Linked DNA regions of Notamacropus eugenii. The protein of the gene in region 3 purifies or fractionates together with the protein of the main gene of each other region. This does not show direct contact. Links are inferred from orthologs where the notes say so. Each region holds a gene or a part of one and is shown on either strand. Other genes may lie near its edges. The genes, in order: GADD45B, GADD45A and MAP3K4.

Region 1 (7,776 bases), on a different chromosome or scaffold from region 3:
AGAAAGGAGTTCAATTCCATTGTGACATAGTCTTCAAAATAGCAACAAACCAAGTTCAGGGACCCCATGAGAAGAACCCCTGGTCAGTCTAACCCCCTTATTTTTATAGATGAGGGAAACAATGCATTGCAACTCAGGGAAGGAACTCAGTCAGATTCATGTGCACAGATAGCAGAGACAGAGTTTTGAAGGCCCTTAGAACATGGCACAAAGAGTGACTGAGCTTTTAGAGATCAGTGAAATCTTCTAGTCCAACCACCTCATTTTAGTGATTCCACATCTGAGGCCCAGAAAGGTCAGTGACTGTGTGACTTACTCAGGATCACCTAACCTACCTGTAAGTTGGCAATCAGGTTCTCAAGTCACCATTCCTAGTCTCTCCAAATCCAGAGGGGGTTTTTGGTTTTGCATTATAACCAGCCTTAGGAAGCCTCTTTAGTTCATCATTTGATCTCATGGCATGGGAAGGCTTGGTAGGTGGGGAGGGGATGAAGAGGGGAGTGGAAAAGGGGCAGGAGAAAGTGAGGGCAGTTTGCTCTGACATGAGTGAGGATGGAAACATATAGTGGAAAAGGGAAAAAACTGGCTGGAGAGTCAGAGGGTCTAGATCCAAAATCAATCTTTCACACTTAGAACTTTAGACCTTGGGCCAGTCTGGGCCCATCTGTAAAATGAGGAGCACTAAATGACCTCAGAGATCTCTATGATCCTTCCCCAGTCTTGCTGACTAGGTCTCCCTAGGTGATTAGTTCCCTCTCCCATACAGGCACATGACTGATCTTTGACATTTGCCCTCCCCTCTCTCCCCTCCCCTCTCTCTCTTCCCTAACCTCCTTCCCCACCCTCCTCTCCCCTCCCCTTCCTCCCCTGCCCTCTCACCCCTAAATGGAATTTCCCCTGGCAGTCCCAATCCTCCCTTTCAGGCCCAGTCAGACCTGGGCCAGGCTCTCCTTCCTTCCTCTGCACAAAGGGCTCCCTCCCTTCCCTTTATTTCCCCATGGGGGCTCTGCCCTTGTCATCAGCTATAAACCCTGAGTTTGTCTCTGGGCTGGTAATACTCTTGTTGGCCAACAGATGGTACTAGCGAACCATGTTTCCTGCCTGGGCAGTAGCTCTTCAGAATAAAAATCCCTGAGAGTTGAGAATGATAGAATGTCAGAACAGGAAGCAGCTTTAGATATCATACAGTCAAACACACATTCCCTTCTCCCATTTTACGTATGGATCAACTGAGGCCCAGAGAGATGAAGCTAACGCCTAGAGCTGCATAGGTAATTTTCTAATAGCCGTGGTGTTTGCGTTTGGGTCCTCTATCTCAAAACCAGGGCTTATTCTACAATGTTCACCTCTAATCATTGAATCCCAGAGTTGGAAGGGACCTTGTAGGGCATCAGGTCCAACCTGGCACACCTTAGTAGGCATCCCATCTAACATTCCTTATAATGATCACTCAGTGTTTGTTTAAAGACCCTTCAGGAATGGAAGTCTACACAGTTAGGAAGGGTCTGACCTGTCCTAGTTGTATGACCCTGGGCAAGTCACTTTACCTCTGTTTCTCTCAGTTTTCTCATCTATAAAATGGAGATAGTAATAGCCCCTACCTCTCCGGGCTGTTGTAAGACCAGATGAAGTCATAATTGTAAAGCACAGGGCCTGGTACATAGTAAGCCCTATATTGAATGCTGCTGTTCAGTCATTTTTCAGTCATATCTGACTCTTTGTGACCCCAATTGGGGTTTTCTTGGTAAACATACTGGAATGGTTTTTCATTTCCTTCTCCAGCTCGTTTTACAGATGAGGAAACTGAGGCAAACATAGTGAAGTGACTTGCCCAGGGTCACACAGCTGCTAAGTGTCTGTGGCTGGATGGGAACTCAGGTCTTCCTGATTCCAGGCCTGGCCCTGTATTCAATATGCTTCCACAAGATAGCCCTTTAAGTATTTGAAAACATCCTGTCTTCTCTTATCCCAGACAAAACATTCCCTTCAGTTTGAGTCGTAGTCCATATGGAGCCCTTACTGACCACGGCCCTTACACTGATACGGTGAATTCTTCAGGCCTCAGACTCTGAAAAGGTTTAGAGACCCAGAATGACTTGTCTAAGATCCACTCAGCCATTCAGCAGTAGATCTGAGAGCAGAATTTAGATGCCTTCTGGACTCTCCGTCCACCTCCCTTGCCAGACCAGGGGACTTTAGCCTGTCCACTGTACAGAGGGGAGAAACTGAGGCACTAGGAAAACTGAGTAAGGTCATGGAGGGTATAATGTTAACAATGTAAGCAGCAGCTGGTGAAGTCCTAGACTGGAGATTAGGGCTTTAATCTTGGATCTAATATTTGTGAGCTATGTGACCTTGCCTTGACCATTCACCCCCAGAGGTCTCCGTTTCTTCCTCGGAAAAGTAAGGGACTTGGACTACATGGTCTCTCCGACATTCTATCTCATGTATTATAAATCTTTTATTTTTGACTTTCTATGTTTTAGGGGTCCAATCCAGCTCCGACATTCTATGTTCTAAGTGCTCTGTGTGCTAAGGACACCCCCAAGGTCTGACATTCTATGTTCTAAGCGCCCATCCAGCTCTGACATTCTGGGTTCTAGGGGCCCTCCCAGCTCTGACAGCCTGTGTTTTAAGAATCTTCTCAGTTCTTACGTTCTGTCTTCCTCCTCTCCCCCTCCCCCGCCCCCAGCTCTGACAATCTACTCTAAGACCTTTTTATCCTCGCCCCTTCCCCACCCACCCCCTCCGCCCACATCTCCAGGCTCGGGGCTGTGAACGCCAGACTGGGAGCAGAGAGTTGCCGGCAGAGGGCGCCATCGCCCCAGACGGAGAGGACGCTTGCCGTCACTTGTTCGCTCCCCCCATTCCCCACTCACCGCCCCCAGGCACTCTGTGCGCACCCACAGTGGAGGAGGCAGGGTCCCCGGCTGTGCAGAGTGTGCGCCAACGTTACTTGGCGCCACGCTGGGCTGTCTGAGAAGCAGCCCCGAAGGCTGAAGCCACTCCAGCTCTCGTGTCTCACTCCACCCACCCTAGGGGAAGCGAGGAGCCAGGGACCCTTCCCTTGCCCCTCGCCCCATCTTACATGCCTCTTTTCACTGTCAGTGCAGAAGAACAACCATTAAGCTTTACATCTCCCCTCACTATCCATAGACTGCACATATTTGTCCCCATTTTCCAGATGAGAAAACTAAGTCTCCAAGAGTCTGAATTGCCCTTGAGTGACTTTCTCACTCAGCTATAAAGGCCTTAGCCTGGAGCCCAAGACTCGGTCTAATACGCTTTCCTACGAGTCGTGGGGGGCTTCTTCCCCTTCCCTGGCTCTGACTTTGAGGTGGAAGCTGTTCCCTGGGCGGCCCAGACAATCGTCTGGCAACTTTCAGGTTCCACGCTATTGAGATCCCAGAAAAGGTCCTCTTTATTACAAGGCTAGATGTCCTGGGAAAATCCCCTCTCCCTTCGAAACATTATTTTTAGACCGTTTGGAGGCCTTTTCAGGGAGCTGCCCTATGTCTAGGATGAGTTAGGGGACCTCAGCAAGATATTACTGGGCTCCTCTCTGCTAGAAACAAATTGCATCCGGACAGAAAAGAATTCCAGAATCCCAGGACTAAGAGCTAGAAGGGACCTTGGAGATCATTTAGCCCACCTTGCTTCTTTTGCAGAAGAAACTAGAGCCTGGAGAAGGGAAGGGACTTGCCTCAGGTCACACAGATTCCAAATTTAGGTAGGCACCCAGACGTGATCATAGAAAGGGCCACGGGACTCGGTGTTAATCGAAACCTGGATTCAATCCCTGCTCTGATACTGTCTCTGGGCAAGCAGCTCCCTGTCCAGAATCTCAGTTTCCCCATCTGTTAAATGAAATTAAACACCATTTGCATAACTCTTGGTGTGTAGTGAAAAAGAGTGCACACTTTCCGTGTGACTGGTAGGACACTTAACTTGTCAGAGGCAGTTTTTTCGTCTGTGAAATGGAGGCGCTCATACACGCACTGCTAACTTGACCGGGTTGTTGTTGGGGGTGGGGTGGGGTGAAATGCTTTGTTTTGCAAACCTATAAGTGCAGGAATGTGGGGAGGGGATGCGGGGGGAGTGCCGATTAAGGCTGTGCAGCCGCTTTATAAACTTTAAGGTGCTGGATTATTTCCAGCCCTCTCCCCCTTTAGGCTCTGGCTGCAGCTCGGGGAAGCGCGCCGTGCAGAGGGGCTGGCTGGTCGAACTGGGCTCCCCGAGCCCGGGAACAAGAAGCCCGACGCCGGGCTGGGATTCCGGCGCAGACTACCTTTGAAAACTCTGCCCGGGTGCAGGGGCTGGGGGAACTGGGACACGAACGCGCCAGGAGGGCTGCAGTGGTGTCACCGAGTCAGCTCTCTCCTTCCGGAAGGCAGCTTTCTGCAAAATCACATGCACTAGGCGCGCGGTGGAAATCCCGTGCAGAAACTGGGAGCCGCTGCCGGGAAACTCACTCGAAACCTCCTTTAAAAAAAAAAAAAACCCAACCGTTCTCAGCTACTCCCCCCCCCTTCCTGCGCCTCGCGCCCCCACGTGGGGTTGCCCCGGGGGAGATCCGAGCCTGCCCAAAGCCGCCCGCTGCTCCGCACCCCGAGCCAATAGTAGCCAGAGTTGCCTTGATTTTCGTTGATCGGGCCGCCAATGAACGCAGCGGAGGCTTCTGCTAGGCCACGCCCCCTTTCCCATCGAAGGCCATATAAGGAGGACGCGGCGGCAGCCGCGGCAGTAGAGGTTTGGAACTGTTGCGGATCTCGCGGACGCCTTGGATTTAACGCCGCTTGGATTTGTCTGCCGCTTCTCGTTCGCTTGCTCGCTGGATTAATCGCATTGACTCGGGGATCTTGGGTTTTGGGGGTTTTTTTGAAGAATTCTCTCCTCCTTGCTCCGGCTTTTCAGCCTCGGCACCCGTGGCTTGCCACCGCCGCCGCCACCTCCTCTCTCGGGACGGAGGGACGCCTTGCTCCAGACTCGGCCGATTTGGGCTTCGAGGTCTCGGCTTTTCTGTTACCGACTGACTTGGGGGCTTCTTCCACTGTGGATTACAATTGCACCATGACCTTGGAAGAAGTCGTAGCCTGCGAGAGTGCGGCTCAGAAGTGAGTGTCCAGCCGGGGGTTGAATTCCCCTCCCTCCCGTGGGACAGATAGATGCCCCAGGCTCCGATGACCTCCCTGGGCTGGGCTCCCAATGTTGCTGCCTTGCTGCCGAGCGGGGCCTCGGACCCATTCCTTCGCCTCTCTGAGTGTCCAAGGGGGAGGGGGTCCCTACCTCTGAAAAGGACTATCTGCAGTCGCCCCTTCTCTTCTTCACCCCATCGCCTTTCCTGATCTCTTACGCTCTGTGCCTCGGTTTCTCTCCAGGATGCAGACGGTGAGCCATGCGGTGGAGGAGTTGCTGGTAGCGGCGCAGCGCCAAGACCGCCTGACAGTGGGCGTGTATGAGTCGGCTAAGCTGATGAATGTGTGAGTTTCTGCCTGTCTTTTTCATGCTGCCGGGGTGGGGGGCTGGTGGGCGATGGGGTACCGCTTTCCCCTGGTGCACAGCCTACGAATGTGCAGTAGGAGTTTTGCAACATGCCACCAAAGAGCGCGAGCCCCTTCCCTTGCCGAGGGTTGCTCACCTCTCTCTCTCCCCCTCTCCTTCCCCTCTTTCCCCGTGTTCAGAGACCCAGACAGTGTGGTCCTTTGCCTTTTGGCTATCGATGAGGATGAGGAGGATGACATCGCCTTGCAGATCCATTTCACGTTGATCCAGGCCTTTTGCTGTGACAACGACATAGATATAGTTCGGGTGTCTGGGATGAGGAGGCTGGCCGAGCTGCTGGGGGAGCCGGGGCCCACGGAAGAGAGCGAGGAGTCCCGGGATCTGCACTGCCTTCTGGTCACGGTGGGTGAGCTTGTCCCTCCCTAGCTTGGGGCAGGGTTACTTAGCAACTGGGACAAATAGATGGGGACCTTCAGGGCCTGCTGGGAGAGAGAAGTTATTTTGTTTGTCAACATGGTTCACACAAGGAGGTGGGGAAACAAGGCTCAGCATTCCATCTCTTGCCATCTGGCTTGAAGAAAGGGCATCTCGTGCCCTGGCCAGCTCAGCACTGAGCTATTCCGGGCACCCATGGGCCAATGCCCAGGTATCCCCGCCCAGCCAGGCCTATAACTCATAACTTGTTGCTATTTTGGGATGGGCCTTGTTTTTCTGAATGGGGGAGGGGGAGGGAAGAGTGCTGCTTACTTGAGCCTCCTTAGCCTAATGCTCTTTTTATTTTTCTTACCCCCTCAGAATCCTCATACTGACTCATGGAAGAGCCATGGACTGGTAGAAGTGGCTAGCTACTGTGAGGAAAGCCGAGAGAACAACCAGTGGCTCCCCAACATCTCCCTCCAGGAGCGCTGATAGCCTTCCCCAAACTTGGAAAATTGCTGCCTTGCAGACACATTAAAAAAAAAAAAACAACCCCCCCCTTCCCAAACCACACCAGATCCCAACCATCAAGACCACTGTGGGGAAGAGGTGTAAGGGACAGAATGTTCTTGCTGAAATGGGGTGAAGAAACACCTGCAACCTCTGTCAGGACCTAGTGGAGCCTGGGGTCAGGAATGACAGAGCTGAGAGGTGGGACTGTGTCGGCCTCAGGAAGATCCACCAGCCAGAGCGAGAAGGTGACCATGGGGCCTTGGAATCCAGATGCCTGGAGTCCAGTGATTGGGTCGGGGAATTAGGAGGAAGACCTGCCTTCCCCCACCACTAAGGGACTATGCATGGAGACGAGATGGTCGGGCTGCCCCTCCGGCCGGCCACAATGACCTGTTAACTGTTGCAAATGGGAGTTGGCATTTGCCACCAAGACTTGATGGTGGGAGGTCTAGAGAGACCTACTGGGACCGGGAGCCTGGGACAGGCTGCTGCTGCTGTATGCTTAGGAGCTCCCAGTCTGCAAACAATATACATATACAGATATATTTTGACGTTGTTGCACTCATCGAGCCGTTTGGAAAGAGAAGAAAAGTTTATATCTATAGCTCTATTTTTGTGTGTGTGTTTAATGTTGCTTTGGTAATAAATTTCTGCACTCTCCGGCTCCTGTACGTGTTGGCTCTTCTGCCCCCTCCCCCAGTCCCTTTCACGGCTCAGCTGCCCCAGAGGGAGCTCAGCTCTACGTTGTCCTGCAGCCTTAGACCAGGAAGTCTTAACTCCCTGTTAAAAACCACTTCAGGAGTAACTTGCTGCTCGTTTGCAAAAACACTGCAGTTTCTGTGGTCGGCGCCAAGGCCTCAAACTAATAACAAAGGCCTAACTCTTTTTTTTCCTTCCCCTCCTCTCTTCTCTCTTCCCTCCCTCTCCCCTTGGCACAGCAATTAAAGGACCGGTTTATTGCGAAACTCAGCAACTCTCCACGGTGGCGTGTGCCCCGTGAGCGCAGCTTTAGAAACCTGTCTCCTTTGGCGCCTGCCCCGTTCTCAATTAGGCAGAACTCAAAATTGGAGAGGTGGCAAATCTACCACAGACAGCCCGACTGCCCCTTTCTATCCCCGCCCCTTCCCTTTATCTCTCCTTTTTGCAAATAGAGACATGAGCTCCCAGGGGAAGAGATTTGCCCAACCGAGGTCATGTAGCAAAGTTTGTGGGAAGACCTGGGACTGGAGCCTGCATCTCCTGATTTGAGTCCAGAAACTTTTCATAAGATCTTAGAAGTGGATGGGAGTGGATCTGAGCTCATTTGGTCCAGATGTTTACAGATGAGAAAAGAGCCAGAGAGGT
Region 2 (8,680 bases), about 270 Mb from region 3:
TTCTCCATTTAGGGTAGTAGAAGGAATCTTCTCTTCTAAGGAGGACTAGTCAGGGCAAGGAACAAGCATCAGGAGCATTTTTGTTTCTCTCTGGAGCACAGTGGATAGAACACTAACTTGAGACAGGAGCAGACCCTGGTTCAAATCCCATCCTTGACACATTTCAATAATTGGGTGACCCCAGGAAGGATATCTCTCCGAGCCCCAGGCTCCACAGCTGTGGTATGGGGATAATAAAAGCAGTTGCTCACTAGGGATAAATACAAATCGAGCTATATAGGGGATAAATGGGAAGCAGAGAACAGAGGGGAGGCACTGGAATTACAAGTAGTACTGATAGATATTTACCAGATTAAAAGTTAAAACATTTTAGAATTATTATGAAAATAATTTTGACCTTGAAGATACCCAGAAATGGTCCTGGAAAACCACTGACTCAGAAGGTAAATCTTAAAGAGGCCCCAGGAGGCATTTGCTAATGGCAACTTGGATAGAACACCAGCTCTGAAGTCATGAGGACCTGAGTTCAAATTTGACCTCAGACACTTAGTAGCTATGTGACCCTGGGCAAGTCACTTAGTCCTGATTACCTGAAAAACGAAAATGCAGAGAGGTCCTGAGACCCAGAGAGTTTAAGCTGCCCCCTCCCCCCACTACGGTCACCCAGTTAATAAGAATCAGAGGCAGGATTTGGATCCCAGGTCTTCCTGACTCCAAGTCCAACACCTCTTCTCTTAAGACAGCTAACAGTGTCAAAATTTATTGAGTCAGAATTTAATGTCACTTCTAAGTAAAACATCAGAACCTCCTTAGCCTGGTGCCTGGCACACAGTAGGTGCTTAATCAATGCTCATTCAGTCGTGGGAAGGGAAATTGCTCGATAACTTAATGTACTTATTCTGATAGAATTCCATCCTCTTGAGAGCAGGGACCATTTGGGGCGAAATCTCCTGGCACAGTGCCTGGCTAATAAAAGCCTGCCAATCAGTTGATCACCTAACTAGCAATTTTTATGCCCCATCTAGAGGGGCTACTGCACCACTGCTACACCTAAACAGGCTGTGGTGCACAGGGGTTAGAGAGGTAGGAAGTCCAGGGCTCAAATCCCCACCTCTGGCTCTTTCTCACCATGTAGCCTTGGAGAGGTTAGTTCAACTCTCTGGGCCTCACTCTTATCTGTAAAGTGGGCATCACCATATAGGCAGCAGTACCCATTTGGGATAGTTGTGAGGCTCCAGTGGGTGTACCAGCATCAGGTCTTGGTACTCTTGGAGTGATGTGATGGCTCGCTGCCTCACAACCTGTTTGTGGGACACTGAGGAGGGGGGGTCCTATATCCAGGAGACAGGGAGGGATGAAATGGTGCTGGGTGAATTCAGCAGCACAGGGCAGGGATGATGTAAGTGAACATCTGAGCTAGAAATCACAGCAAATGAGCACTGATGAAATACTGGAAGCCTTGGAGCTTGGCCCAGTAATGACGCGAAGGTGATAAAACAACTTCCAGCACATGCCTTTCCTGAAAGGGGACAGTGGATCTGGGGGCAGAGAAAAGCCTGCTAACAAAGTGCCCTGAGCACCTCAAGTCATTTCTTGTCACAATGCATGTGTCCTATGTTATATGTCATGATCTTTGGAGCTTGAAAGGACCCAAGAGGTCATCCAGCTGGCCCACTTTTCAGAGGAGGATGCAGAGACCCTGAGAGGGGCAGAATATAGACTGAAGGGGTGGGATGGAAACCACATCATGGAAACCCAGAATCTCAGAGGTGGGAGGGACCCAAGGTCCTCTGGTTCTACACCTGACCCAGAATTCCTGATGCAGTAGTCCCCCTCTACCTAGGGAGAAACCAATAATACTCTAGGAGAGACAGAAACAGAGAGAGAAAGAGAGATGACAGAGACACACAGAGAGACAGAGGTGACAGAAAGAGACAGAGGAAGAGACCAGAAAGATAAAGAGAGAAAAAAAAGACAGAGAGAAGGAGGAGAAGAAATGCCGAGTATAGGGCTAGAGCCCTGGCTAGAGCCAAGGTATACAACTGTTAGGACACTTTGGGCCAGAAAATCCTCTAGGTTAGCTAGAGGTCAGTCAGTCAAGCAACAAGCATTTATTTTACACTTACTTTGGGGGTCTGGGGGGGGCACTGAGCTAAGAAAGGCAAAGACTTCTGCCTTCCCTGCCCTCCCTCAAGGAGTTCACAGTTGAGTGAGGTGTGGAGTTCTTTCTGGTGGACAGAGGTGAGTAGGACAAGATAAAATGAGTAGACAGGCCAGGCAGTATAGACTGTGGAAGTCTGATCTTGGCTCAGTGGGCAAAAGGGAGCCAGGGGAGGATTTTGACCACAGGAGGAGAAACATCACCAGATCAATGCTTAAGGAACCACAGTCAGGCAGCAGTTTCTATGGCTTGGAGGTGGGGTGGAGTAAAAGTAAGACGTTTGGGAGCTGCTGTGACAGTCTAGGAAGTTATTAAAAGGGCTTGTACCAGGTTGGTGCCAGTGTACATGAAGACCCGGGCAAAAGTTTCAGAAATATGATAGGAGCCGAAGAATCTAGCGGGGATGGTTGGGTTCCAGAGGTACCTGGGAGGGGCTTGGAGTTCGGATAGACCTGAGTTCAAATTGAGCCTCAGTCACTTCCTAGCTGTGTGACCCTGGGCTGTCTCCTCAGTTTCCTCATCTGTAAATGGGCATATGATAACACTTCCCTCCCAGGGACTGTAGGGAGGATCAAATGAGATAATAATGGTCAAGTGCTTTGTAAACTTGAATGCTTTAGTGCTAAAAAATAAATGCTAAAAATTGTCTTTACACATAATTGGAAAAAAGTAAAATATTATTAAAAGAAGAAAACTGTCACTGTTATAAGATGAGATGTGGGATAAGCAGGGGCAACAAGTCCCAAGAGGCTGATCTCCACGCAAGATACATGGGAGACCCGCCTCCCTCTCCCTTTTCTTCATCTGTTTTCTTTCACTTAGAAAAAGCAGCTCAAGGCCAGGGCAGGAATCACCCGCTGAATGTTCAGTGTAACCCACTTTCAGCCTCTCCCCATCATATCAGGATCAACAGAACCCTAAGCAATTTATCAAGGAAGACATAAACATGGTGGGGGGAGCAGCCCCCCTCCCCAGCCAAACGTCTCTACCTTTGCCCACGCAGTGACCACAGTCACACCAGCCCTGTTATGACCTACCAGCCCCAGGGAAGCATTTTCATTATTTGGGGGGAATTTAGATGGTCTAAGAAATAGCTTTGTACACATGTGCATTTAGATCATTCTGTGAACGCTGATATTTTAAACAGGGGCATCAGAATGTCTGAGAAAGCTGTCAAAGCCCAGAGCAGCCTCAGGCACATAGTAGGTACTTTAAAATGCATGTTGGATTGAACGGAGTAAGGCTTGGATAAATCTTGTCTCAGACATTTTACTACCTGGGTGACCTTGGGCATGTCACTTAGGTGACCCTAGGGCCTTGGTTTCCTCATCTGCTAAAAAATGAATGGGTGGATGAGATGGTTTCTGAGGTCTCTTCCAATCCTTGATCTGTGGGCAAGTCAGCCTCAGTTTTCATGATCTGTAAAATGGGCATGATTATAACAGTAGCACCAACTGAAAAGTAGAGGGATATAGAGGAGCTCTGGGGAATAAAACCGTGCATATCCAAGGGAATAAGGTGGGAAAGGCTGGAGAAAGGAGCTGATCCTTTCAGAACTGGATGAGGCCTTGATGGTAGTATCTCCCCTTTCCCAAGAGGCATCATGTCCAAGGAGGTTTCATACAGCAAGACGTGGGTGCAAAATCCACCCCTGACAGCTCTGTTACTCTAGAAAAATCAGCTTGCTTTTCTCAGTCTCAGTTTCCCCATTTCTTACCCATCTGACCCCCTGCCACCATAGAAGGTAGCTTTGGCAATCACTCCCATTTCCCAAGAAGTAAGGTCATCTTATAGAAAGGCAGAGTCCTCGGTTTGGAGCCAGAAGGGCAGCTAGGTGTCACAATGGATGGAGCACCCAGATCCGGTGTCAACCTTGGGGCTTGCTAGCTGTTTGACTCTGGGTAAGTCACATCGTCTGCCTCAATTTCCTTATTTGTAAAATGACGATGATAATAGTGCCTACCTCCCAAAGTCCTCAGGGAGGCCTTTGCCAAGTGCTAACTTATATTATCAAGCCCCAGGTTCAAAGTCCACCCTTCACATTTAGCTGGGTGCCCCTGGGCCAGTCACTCCATCCCTCTCAGCCTCATTGGCTTCATTTGTAAAATGTGTATCATAACAGCGCCCATCTTCCAGGGCTGTCGCGAGCATCACAGGAGATAACATGCATTTTTCAAACCTTGAAGCGCTATAAAAAATGCCACCCAACATCAGCTGCCTAACTTTCCAGTTATTATTATTATTTTTACAAAATGTGTAACTGCAGTGAGCCAGCCTCCCCTGGGCTCCGAGTTCACACACAGGGGGGCTCAGGGCACTGCTCCGGTGCCAGGGGGCATGCATTTTTCAGAGCTGAGAGCAGCTCTGAATGCCAAAGGGGACCCGGGGCTGCGCCAGCCACCCGCAAGCCCATGCCCCTCTCCTCTGGCAGCTGGGAGGCCCCCGAAGGGAGCCGACCTCTGCTCCCCAGCACCCCCCCCGAGCACCCGGTGCCCCAAAGAGGCCCACGCAGCCACGGTGGCACCGAGATCCTCGCCCTAATAATAAGCACCCTTGCCCAGACTGGCACAAACAGCCCTGGCGCGCGGACTTCGCCCCTGAGGGCTGGCCACCCTCCTTTCTCTTTTTACGTGGGGCCTGCCCTCGCTAATAATTACCGGAGGCATGAGCCCCGCAGAGGGCATTTAGGAGCGAGCCTCTGGAACAAAAGGGCACGAAACCAACGCGGACAAAAACGTGCGCGGCCAGCGAGACACCTGAAACCTCCCCGGCTCCGCGGGATGGACGGACTCCCTTACCCTGCCCAGCTCCGCTCCAGGCTCCTCCTCCTCAGCCGCCCAGGGCCAATGGGAAGGGCGAGGCGGAGCGTGTTCCACCCCCTTCGGGAGGCCTTCTGCCCCCCCCCAGCCACGCCCCCTTCGGGTCCTGCCCCCTGCAGGCACCGCCCCTTTCCGCGGGGCTCTCTCCGGCTAGGCCTCTGCGAGAAGGTCAAATTGCCTGAGAGGGTTGATTTGCATCTTCCAATGGGTGAGTCGTATGCAAATAAGGCTGGAGTTGGTTGGCTGGGTGTAGGTAGGATAACGCCGCGGAGCCGGGCTCTTTGTCCTTCACCGGCTGTGGAGCAGCTTCAGTCTGTTGGTGCGTCCTGAGGCTGCGGGTGGACTAGGGAGCGAGCGATCCGCCGCCGGCAGAGAGGAGGCGGCGGCGGCCCCAGGGCGACCGGGCCGGAGCGAGGGAGCCAGGCGGCGCTGCTGCTGCAGCCGGTGCAACCGGTGCACAGCCCGGGCCAGGCGGGCAGCTCAGAGCCGGGGCGCCAGGACCCGGGCGGCAGCCGGGGCAGGGCAGCCGGGCAGGGGCAGCAGCTGCTGCAGCGCACGCCGCGCTGCGGGGGGGCGGGGGGGGGACGGGGACCGGACCTGCCAGAGCAATATGACTTTGGAGGAATTCGCGGCCGGAGAACAGAAAACTGAAGGGTGAGCTGGGGGGGCAGCGCTGCCCTGTCGGGAAAAGGGCAGGGGCTGGACCGCTCTGCCTTAAGCGCGAGCAGGGGTGGGGGACCACCGGGCTGGCAGAACCGCTGCCCCCTGGCACCCAGCTGGAGGAGCCCCAGCTGGAGAAGCCCCCGCCGGGCCCCGTGGGGGGGCCCCCGCCCCCGCCCGTGGCTTCTGCGGTCTGCAGTTTGGGGTGTGGGCTGAGTTCCGAGGACAGGAAATGTCCCCAGTGTGGGGAGGGCGGCGAGTGGGAAATGGCACTTTTCTCACCGGCCCGTGCATGTGGACTTGGTCGTGGGCACGCTTGTGTGGGTGCTTGCGAGGGCAGGGCGGGGAGGTGACAAGCTAAGTGCGGGGCTGGTGGGGGGGTAGGGGGGAGAGTCGGGTTTGCAGAAGTTAATGCCCAGTTTCGTGACCCCCGGGGATGCCTGGCTGTGGAATTGTGTGCATGGGCATGGGGGTGGGGCTGAGGGGGTAAGGACCCAGCCTGAACCTGCCCCCGGGTGTGACTGACGGGTCTGCCTCCCCTGTGCCCGCTGTCAGGATGGACAAGGTCGGGGATGCCCTGGAGGAGGTTCTCAGTAAAGCCCTGAGTCAGCGGAGTATCACGGTTGGGGTCTACGAGGCGGCGAAACTGCTCAATGTGTAAGTGGGGGAGGGGGCGGCGAGCACCTGTCTCCCCTCCCCCTCCGCGCCCCACTTTCCTCCCCTCCCTACCGTGCGCCCCACTTCGGGGATACTCTTTTCTGCCACACCGCCCCCTCCCTTTTTGTCTGCCCTTTCCTTTTCTGGGAACTCCACTATCTGTAGTTTTCTGGGATAGGGCCGCTGGGTGCATGCGTGTGGGAGCGAGTCCCTGCGTGGTGGGCACGCGTGTGCCTGCGTCACGGAGCTGGCGGCTGGGCATGGCTGCCCTCCTGCCTGTGTGTGCGTGCATCTGTGGAGCTCCTCGGGCGTGCTGGGTGGGGGCTCTGCGGGCTGCCAGTGTGTGTGTGTGGGGGAGCCCTTCCCGCCCCCTCCCCCAGGCCCTGACCGTCCGGGTGCCCCTCCTCGCTGCAGGGACCCCGATAACGTGGTGCTGTGCCTGCTGGCCGCAGACGAGGACGACGACCGGGACGTGGCCCTGCAGATCCATTTCACCCTCATCCAGGCTTTCTGCTGCGAGAATGACATAGACATCCTGCGGGTCAGCAACCCCGGGCGCCTGGCCGAGCTGCTGCTGCTGGGCACGGGTGGCCCGGCCTCGGCCACCGCCACAGCCTCGGGCGGGGGAGCCGAGCAGCCCCCGGACCTGCACTGCGTCCTGGTGACGGTAAGTGAACTGGAGGGGGATGGGCGGCCTCCACCTGATCGTCACCTGATGGCCGCCCCGAGAGCCAGCGCTGGCACCCAAGGGGGAGGGGGCTGCCTTTTGCCCCACTTCAAAGGCCGGCTGGACTTTGAACCGAAAGGTGCTGGTTTCATCATCAGGACTCTTGTCAGCGCAGAACATGCCCCAACTCGTTTGCTTCTCCCCAGTGCCCGGGCTGCCTGGCCGGCTCGGAAGAGATCGCTGGGCATGAGTCAGCGCCCCGGGCGCCCAGCGGCCTCCTTCTGTCCGTCCGCCTCCCGTGACTAATTCTTTTAGCAGTGCAGATTAGATAAAGCCAAGTGAATTCCTGGCTCACCCTCATTAAGGAGTCACCTCCATTCTCTGCCAGTCCAAGCTATAAATAGGAACACTGTGGGGGGGGGGGGGGGGGAAGAAAGAGGCAGACGTTGCTAATTCCCTGGAAATCCATTGGGGAGGACAGTGGAAAATTTCCCTGAAAACTTGCATTTTTTGAAAAAGGGAGGGTTTTTTTTTTTTTAACCTTCATGCCTGTTGGAGGGTAGGCAAGTCCTGAGTTTAGAGGTAAAGAGCAGAGGAGCGTAAATTTGGAGTTGGAAGGAGACCATCGAACCATCTTCCTTCATTGATCTGGGAAGGTCTGGTTTCCACTTATTTTTGGCCTTTTAAATATCAATTTTTTAAAGCTAGCCAGAGAATAAACAGCTTGGTTTGTTTTTTTTTTTCTGGCTCTGTTCTTTTTTAAGTGCCGCAAGAAGTATGTAGTTTAACTATTATGAAATCGAGCTGATGCTTTGAACGTGTGAGCTCATGCTTGTGGCCACCCTCTACCCTAGTCCTTAAAAGAGATGCCCCAAAAGCACAGCTCCAGGTGCCATCTGTAACCGTGAAAAATAAAAATCCTCTGCCTTCTAGTAGCTTATTGCTACTTCTCTGCTTTCATGTGCAAAGAACGGGGCCACCTAGGGTTCAGTCCGCTGTAGTGCTGGAGGAGGTCATTCATATGGACAGATCGTTATCACTCATGCAAACCCACGATTGTGTGTGGCCGGTCTTGTGCTCCCACCGGAGAACAGGGCCTTTGAGATGCTTGGATCAACTCCAGGAAAAATGTAACGATAGCGGATATTTTTGTAATGTTTTGTAAGGCTGCCTAGAGAGAGATTGTGGTGGGGGGAGTGGAGCCCAGCCCAGCCTTCCGATTCTGGGAGCCCTGGGTTCAGATTTCTCCTGTGACACCCCGCCCCCCCTTCAAGAAATTAACCCGAGGCTTCTGGGCGTTTCCCATAGCAACCCCTCGGGCCATCGGTGGTGGGTGGGGAAGCCTTACGTTAATTTATTTCTCTGAGACACTTAGTAGGAAATAGAACTCCCCATGTTCCTCTTCCCCTGCACAGACCGTGTCCTGGTTATTATTAGCAAATTGCTTGGGTTTTGAAAAATGCATTACCAGTTTTTTAACTTGAAGTATTCATTTCTTTCCAGAATCCACATTCCTCTCAATGGAAGGATCCGGCCTTAAGTCAACTTATTTGTTTTTGCCGGGAAAGCCGATACATGGATCAGTGGGTCCCAGTGATTAACCTCCCTGAGCGGTGATGGCTTCCCACTGAAAGTAACTGAGCCCAGTTGCACTGAAGTTTTGAAATACCTTTGTAGTTACTCAAGCAGTTACTCCCTACACTGATGCAAGGATTA
Region 3 (7,512 bases):
AGTTTACTCAAATTTAAAATGGGATAAAAGCAGGACCTACCTCAAAGGTAGTGAGGATCAAGTGAGATAATATTTGTAGAGTTTAGCACAGTACCTGGCACATAGCAGGCACTATGTGCCTGATAAATATTTGTACACTCTCTTCCCCTCCCACCTCCCTACCAGTGGTAGTGTTTTCCCTCCCTCGGTTATTACCTCCTTTTTACATTGTATATATCGGTATGTAAATAATTGTTTGCTAGTTGTTCTCCACTGGAATGTGAGCTCCTTGAGGGCAGGGATCCAGTTTTTGCCTTTCTTTGTATCTCGAGTACTTAGCACTGGACTAAAATCACAATCCATCTAATTCAGAAACTAAAGCTTCAACCAATGATTTGAGTTGCAGAGGGTGAAGAGCACATGACCTCAACCACTGGATGGGGTTAATTATCCTGGCAGATTACCAATAGTAATATCTTGCTCAAAATCAGCCTTCAGAGTTGTAAAGAGTGGCACGAAACAGCTAAGGGGACTAAGTCCAAATTTGTGGAGTGACATTTTACAAAGTTATTTTCTCCTACAAAATCAAATGGAAGGTTGCTTTGAATAATTTTGTTAAGAGCCCTTTGACTAAAGCAGACAAATATGTAAAGTATTCAGAAAACTTTTTTAAAAGCACTACCTTACCTATTAGTACCTATATTTTAGCCTTGTAAGGAAAAGTGACATCTCCCTGAAAACAAAATTAATGTTTTTTCTTTTGTTATCAGAGAATTAAATCACCTCAAAGGCATTTCTGTGTACAGAGCTCCTTGCCCTTTCTCCCTTGAAAATATTTTAACATTCACTCTTTTCAAAGTTTAACTTGATTATTATTCAAAACATCAATAATTTCTTTTAGCCATCAGGTATTGCATTAGCTATTTACTACTTCTGCAATGACCATGTTTTTCAAAAGCCCCAGTAAAACAGATAAAAATAACTCAAAAACTGCAGCCATGAACTTATCTCAAAAGAAACTTTTAAAGTTAAACAGATTCAAATGGAATAAAACCTGGGGTTTTTTCCTACGTATCTTCATTCCCACACTGCCCTATTATCATTTCTCAGAGACATTTTTCCTTAGTTTACTAAAGTGTGTCAAAGAGATGAAGTGGAATAGCGATCCACACAAACCCATCTCTGACTAGCGAATCAGACATATAACTGTAATAGTTGAGGCAACCAGGTGGTGCAATAGATAACAGAGCTGGACCTGGAGTCAGGAATTCAAATCAGGCCCCTAACGCTTATTGACTCCCAACAAGCCACTAATCTTGTATAAAATGGAAATAGTAATCACAACCATCTACCTGGGATTTTTGTGGAGATCAAATGAGACGATATTTGTAAACTGTTTTGCAAACTATATAGCACCATATGAGTGCTAGCAATGATTAGTTCTTTAAGGTATGCAGAGTAATTTCATTTAAGTTTCAGGAGAGGTAGGGTTATAAATGCAGACCTTGATTTCAAGTCCAGCACTAGCCACTAAACCATTCTTAACTTGATTTCTTTCTAAATCTAGTCCCTCCTTTCCCCCTGTATTCTTATTTCTTGAGTCAGGAAGGAAAAAAGAAATACGGTTACCTATCTGCTCCTGATTCACTATGTTAATTAATCATCCTAAAACTCAGATCAAACAAAGTCATCCCTCCTCTTCACAGAATACACTCCCTATCACCTCTAGGCTCTTTTAGGCATTCAAAGCCCTCCAAAAACCTTTCCTTTGCCCCAGAACATTCTGCAATCCACAGACACAAACCTCCCTGCGGTTCCTCCCACAGGGCACTACATCCCAAGGCTCTGGGCATTCTTAATGACTGTTCTCCAAGTCCTGGATATCCTCCCCTTCATCTTCTCCTCCTACCTTCCCTGGTTTCTTTGAAGGAGCAGCAAAATCTTATATTTTACAAGAAGTCTTGCTTGATCCTCTGTAATCCTAGTGCCTATCCTCTATTATCTCCAAATGATTCTTTCTACATTCTGTTCCTAGACGTTTTCATATTCTCTCCAAGAAATCAACATCTCGAGGACAGGGAGGTGGCTTTTGCCTTTCCCTGGTGCACTTAGCACAGTGCCTAGCACATAGTAAGCCCTTAAAAAATGTTTCCTGACTTGAAATAACTAGCTTGCCAAACTAAAAAGATGCATAGAATAAGTTAAGTACTTACAACGTGGAAAGACAGGGGGCAGTACTTCGAAAACTCACTCAGCAGCAGGGCAAGAGGAGGATACTTTAATATGCAAGCATAGGTACAAAAGGAAAAGTGTGTTTCTTATTCCAGTACTGTGAGTTTGAGCACCTCCACTAGAGTCCTATTCCAAGGATTCATCGTGGCCCGGGGATGACCCCGAGCTCCAGCTAAGAGCAAGCTCCAGCAAGTCCAGCAAGGCACAGCCTCCCAAAGGGCTGGCCTAGCGAAGTTCCAGACCATCATCCCCACAAAGTTGGCCACCAGGTGATGAACTTCTTTGGAAAGGAGTGCACAGAGGGGTTCAGCGCCTAGTCGCACGGAGAGGGTACCCAAACTCATTTTAAAAAATAACCTTTTGATGCACCAAAGAGTTCGTGTAATTTCTCTCTCAACTAAAAAAAAGGGCAAGAAATCATCACGGTCACCGACGGATGCAAGAGGTAGCAGACTGCACGGCGGCTCGGTGGGTACCCAGGCTGGCTGAGGTGTTCGTGCCCAGACAGAGGGTGCGTGACGTGACTCAAACGCGTGTACCAGTTCGTTCGCACACTCGGTCCTCAAAGCACAAAAGGCCCCAGTCTAAATGCTGACTGCTGGGTACCCAAGAAGGAAAGAAAAAAGGGGGGCCAAAGGCTGCCCCGCGGACTGCTGGCTACCGGGGGAGGCAAGCGGGGGGCGCCCCAAGTACTTCAAAACGTGAAGGCCAGAAAGAGGGGGCTGCACATTCCCTTCCAGATACATCCGCCCCCTCTAACGGGGGAGGGGGGAGCGCGCCGCGGGGGTAAAAGCGAAGAGAAACCCACTTTTCACAAGTGCCCTGGGGAGAGAGAGAGCGTGCTTCCCCTCCCCACCTCGCGGGACCCAGTCTCCTGGCCCAGGACCAGTCGCCAGCACGCCCGCTCCCCCAATAAGGGGGGACCGAGGGGGAGCCCCGCTAACGAGCAGCACCTGAGCGGAGCGACCCCCCCCTCCGACCCCCCTCCCAGTTACCTGGCGGGAAGCACCAGCTGCAGCTGCCCCCGCCCCCGCAGCCTCCAGCCAGAACCCGGGCTGGCGCTGCAGGCGCCGCCGCAGTCCTTACCTCGCCGCCTGGCAGCCCTCCAGCTCCAGCTGCAGCTCCGGCGGCGGCGGCGGCGGCGGCGGCGGCGGCGGCTCCTCCATGGCGGTGACGGCGGCGGCGGCGGCGGCGGCTCCGGCGGGAGGGGGGACCAGCTCGGCGGCGGCCACGGCCTCTCTCATCCGTGCACCGAGCCCGGCATGGCGGCGGCGAAAGAGAGGCTGCAGCCGGGCACAGACTGGAGGAAGCACGGGGGTCGGGAGGCTCGCTGGACGCCGTCTCCGCCTCTATCCGGCGGCGGGAGCCCTTCGGCCCGGGAGCGTCCGCGCCGCGGCCATCTTGGAAACGGCGACCAGCCTAGAGAGAGCCCGGCTACGGCGGGCGTCGAGGGACAAGCCTCCCGAGGGCGGCGACGCGGGCGGCTGCTGCGGGCTCTGGAATTCCACGGGGCGGAGAAGACGACCGGGGAAGGGAGGGGCAAAGGGGAGGAGGGACGCAGCGGGGGGGGGGGGGGGGGGGGGGGGGAAGAGCTGGAGTTGGGGCGGGGGGGCCCAGTCTCCAGGCCGGGGGCCCGCTGCGGAGGATGCTAGGAAAGCGTGCCGGGTGTCACCGGGAGCTCGGGTCCGGGTGGCCGGGCTTTCCTGGGCCCCTGCTGGGCGATCCCGGTCACTTTCTGTAATCTACAAGAGAGGAGGGAGGTGACGAGCCTGAAGGCTGCAGGGTATTTACTGAGACTTCTGATTGCCCAGATCTGGTCGTTATGTCTCAGGAATGGTGGAATGCCATCAAAGGGGAGCCCGTCCGCGATATTATTACCACATTTCCTAAATAAGATACTATTTTAGAGGCAAACACTAGAAGCAAAGTAAGGGTCGACCTTGCCACCGTGGCCAAGTAATGCTTGTGCCTTGGGAAGTTTCGAGTCTTTGCAGATCTTTGCAAATGAGTCCCCGCCACACCTACAGATGGCAGATTCCCCCCCAATTTACGGGCAGGGAAAGTGAAATCTACATCACCCCGGCGCCCCCCGCTGTGCGAGAGGCCGGCCGGGGTGGAGTTGGATGGGCTGAAGTCAGCGGCACCCTTCTGCTCCAAAGCAGGGTTTTTGAGAAACGATTTTAAACTGATACCCCGGGGGACCTAAAAATGCGTGCCACCACCCGAGACCATTAAATGAATCGAGCAAAGGGCCCAATGAAAAAACACTGCTGCCGGATCCATTAAGGAGCTGTAGAAACAGTCCGATCCACAGCAGAAAGATAAGCTTGCCCAAGAGGATGTCGGAGCATTTTGCAAAAACTTTACATTTAAAGCATTTTTTAATCGCCCCGCTAAACATTTTTTAAAAGAAATGATAATGACATTTTTCTCAATTTCTGGTTTGTGAAAATTAATTCTGCACTTTTGAAAAATAATTTTTCTTTTGTTTTAACATCAGCTAAATTCCATCTCCCATCTCCCCCCACTCATTTTTTTTAAAGAAAACAGGAAAAAATCAGCAAAGTCGATCAACATTTTTTAAAAATTTTATAGTTATATGGAATAGTGTATATTTATATGCATTAGTCAAATTAATATACACATATATGTACAATCTTCTGCACCTTGGACATCTGCAAAGGTATTGGGGAAGATCTTTCCTATCTTTTTTAACCTTTTTTTTTAATTAAATATATTTTCTCTCTCTCCCAAATTCCATCCTACTGGAAAAAAGAAAAAAATCCTTTGTAACAAGTTTGCATAGTAAAGAAAAACAGATTCCCTCCTTGGCCATGTTCAAAAAAGTATGTTAGTCTGTACACTTAATCTATCACCTCTTTGATAAGGAGGTGGATAACTTATTGCATCAAGAATCAAGCATACTTATAACTACAAAATTCCTACAGAAACTCCAGGACGTACTTTTTACGCAAGTCTCATTAAAAAAATTCTTGTTTGAATGTAACGATATTAGATTTGAACCATCAGCATTTTCCTGGATGTGCAATTAACTGTTTAACATTCAAAGTCTACAACACTTTTCCCTGTAGTTAGAGAACATGCATTTCTATTTCCTGTCTTGATTTATTAGTTGAACTATATTCCTACAATGGCATTCATGAAATTTAGATACATAAATTCATTTTAAGAATCATTGTTCATCTATGATTTCATACAGAAAACAAAAAGATTTATAAAAATCATGAAGATTAAAAAATTGACTGTTAAGTATAATTTATTTCCAATTCAGAATAAGGCAAAAATGATTTTTGTAATAATGATTTTTCTGATCTGTACGAGGGTCACTAAATTATTTTTTAAATTCCATTATAACAATAACAACTCATTTATACTTCCTTTTAAGGTTTTCAGTTTCAACAACTTTGTGAGGTAGGCAGAATCCAAAGTACTCTACTGGTCTCATTTTATGTATGAGAAGTTAAATGACTTGCTTGTGACTGATAAAATAAGAAGTATCAGAGCTAGGAATGAAAGCTGGGGGACCATTACCCTTTCTACTATACCACCCTGCTGCAGCAATTGGTTGTTTTCTCTTATGTTTTTTAACAAGATCAAATGTCACAACATTCCATAAGGTTTTCCTAAATAGTTTTAGTAAGTAAAGCCATATATGCCTTCACTTTTTTGTTTATCCCACCAAAGCTAGGAAAAATAAAATTTTTTCTTCTTTGAATGGATGGATTGTCAAGATTGTTCTGTGATGTACAATCATTTGAATGTAGTATTCCTTTCTTTTCAAATTAATTATATTTAGCTTAATTCCTGAAGTCATTCAGTTTTTTCTTCCCTGGCTCTGTAATAAAAAAAAAAAAATATGTGTACAATGCTCAATACAATATTTTTAAAATAATTATTATAATTATCCTTCAATTCATCAAATATTTATTAGGCAACCACTCTTTGCAAGGAGTTTATACTGAATTATGATCATTTAACCCTTTGAATCCTAAATTGAATTAATTTAATATTTTAATATTTGAGGGATAGGATAAAAGACCAATAAAGGATTAAATATAGGATTTAGAGCTTAAAGAGTCTGGACTGAACAAATAGGCCCAGAAACTTATGTAACTGCCTGTAGTCAAAAAGGTAACAGCAATATTCTGCTTCCTTGACATATCCCACATACTGTGTTCCCATGACCAGTAATTACAGCTCCCTTTTATCTAGCACTTGAAGGGTTTTCCTTACAACCCTGTGAGGTAAGTTTTATAAATGTTATTATTCACATTTTATAGGTGAATGGTTAAATGACTTGGCCACTGTCATACAGCCAGGATCAATGTCATTAAACCTATACCTGGCCTCAGATACTGTGCTGTCACCACTATATCATACCTCCTATCTAAGTTCATTCTAGACACCCAAATAAGAAGGCTCATTGCTCAGTGGATAGAGCATTGACCCACCCTATAGTCAGGAAGAGCTGAGGTCTAATTCAACCTCAGATATTCACCCGTCGTGTGATCCTGGACAAGTCACTTAACCTCTGTTTGCCTTAATCCACTAAAGAATAAAATAGCAAACCATTTCACTCCAGTATCTTTGCCAAGGAAACCCCATGGAAACCAACTGTCTACAGGGTCCTGAAGAGTCAGATACACAACTGAACATCTACCTTTATTTACATAATTAACTTTATTAAGTGCTTATATTTACTCAAGGGAGTAAAATCTGTCAAATGAGCAGGAGAAGGAAATAGCAAACCTCTCCAGTATCTTTGCCAAGAAAATTGCTGATGGGGTCTCAAAGAGTCCATCACAACTGAAAAATGACTGAACAACAACAAAAATATACTCAAGGGAACCTAGTAAAGGACAATCTTTATTTTATCTTCAATTAAATATGATTACTGAATGCATGGCACCATTTTCAGTTCAATCTCTTCCAATCACTCTGTCTCCAGAATAGGGACTGATGTGACTCTAATTCATGTGACTACTGATACATGTAGTATAGTGGAAAGACCATTGGCCTAAAGTCTAGTCCTAGCTCTCCCATTTTCTGGCTATGTGACATTGAGCAAGTTATTTAATCTTACTGAACTTTAGTGTCTTCATCTGTAAAATGGGAGTAGAGAAATATCAATTAGTCTCATAAATTCTCTTCTGTGATTCTAATAAAGATGCTTCACTGAAATGAGTTATAAAGACTGAATTAAAATGCTACGATATTAAGAATCCATTTCAAGTTCCTTAGCATTCTTTTCTCAGTGATTCTAGGCTATAAAACTCATTT

What was found.
Region 1: the proteins of MAP3K4 (region 3) and GADD45B purify together in Homo sapiens (co-immunoprecipitation; 3 studies listed by BioGRID and IntAct, counting the BioPlex papers as one, with this or other methods). This does not show direct contact. The link is inferred for Notamacropus eugenii from reciprocal best matches to the Homo sapiens genes MAP3K4 and GADD45B.
Region 2: the proteins of MAP3K4 (region 3) and GADD45A purify together in Homo sapiens (co-immunoprecipitation; 3 studies listed by BioGRID and IntAct, with this or other methods). This does not show direct contact. The link is inferred for Notamacropus eugenii from reciprocal best matches to the Homo sapiens genes MAP3K4 and GADD45A.

The regions. Positions count from the first base shown.
Region 1 is NC_092875.1:63,542,220-63,549,995, reverse strand, and holds GADD45B (growth arrest and DNA damage-inducible protein GADD45 beta), read left to right. Parts: upstream 1-4,737; 5' UTR 4,738-5,070; coding exon 5,071-5,114; intron 5,115-5,378; coding exon 5,379-5,480; intron 5,481-5,681; coding exon 5,682-5,904; intron 5,905-6,297; coding exon 6,298-6,411; 3' UTR 6,412-7,092; downstream 7,093-7,776.
Region 2 is NC_092873.1:528,183,150-528,191,829, forward strand, and holds the start of GADD45A (growth arrest and DNA damage-inducible protein GADD45 alpha), read left to right. Parts: upstream 1-5,233; 5' UTR 5,234-5,590; coding exon 5,591-5,634; intron 5,635-6,195; coding exon 6,196-6,297; intron 6,298-6,711; coding exon 6,712-6,964; intron 6,965-8,467; coding exon 8,468-8,581; 3' UTR 8,582-8,680. UniProt on the Homo sapiens protein: In T-cells, functions as a regulator of p38 MAPKs by inhibiting p88 phosphorylation and activity.
Region 3 is NC_092873.1:254,422,822-254,430,333, reverse strand, and holds the start of MAP3K4 (mitogen-activated protein kinase kinase kinase 4), read right to left. Parts: upstream 3,456-7,512; coding exon 3,298-3,455; intron 1-3,297. UniProt on the Homo sapiens protein: Component of a protein kinase signal transduction cascade. Activates the CSBP2, P38 and JNK MAPK pathways, but not the ERK pathway. Specifically phosphorylates and activates MAP2K4 and MAP2K6.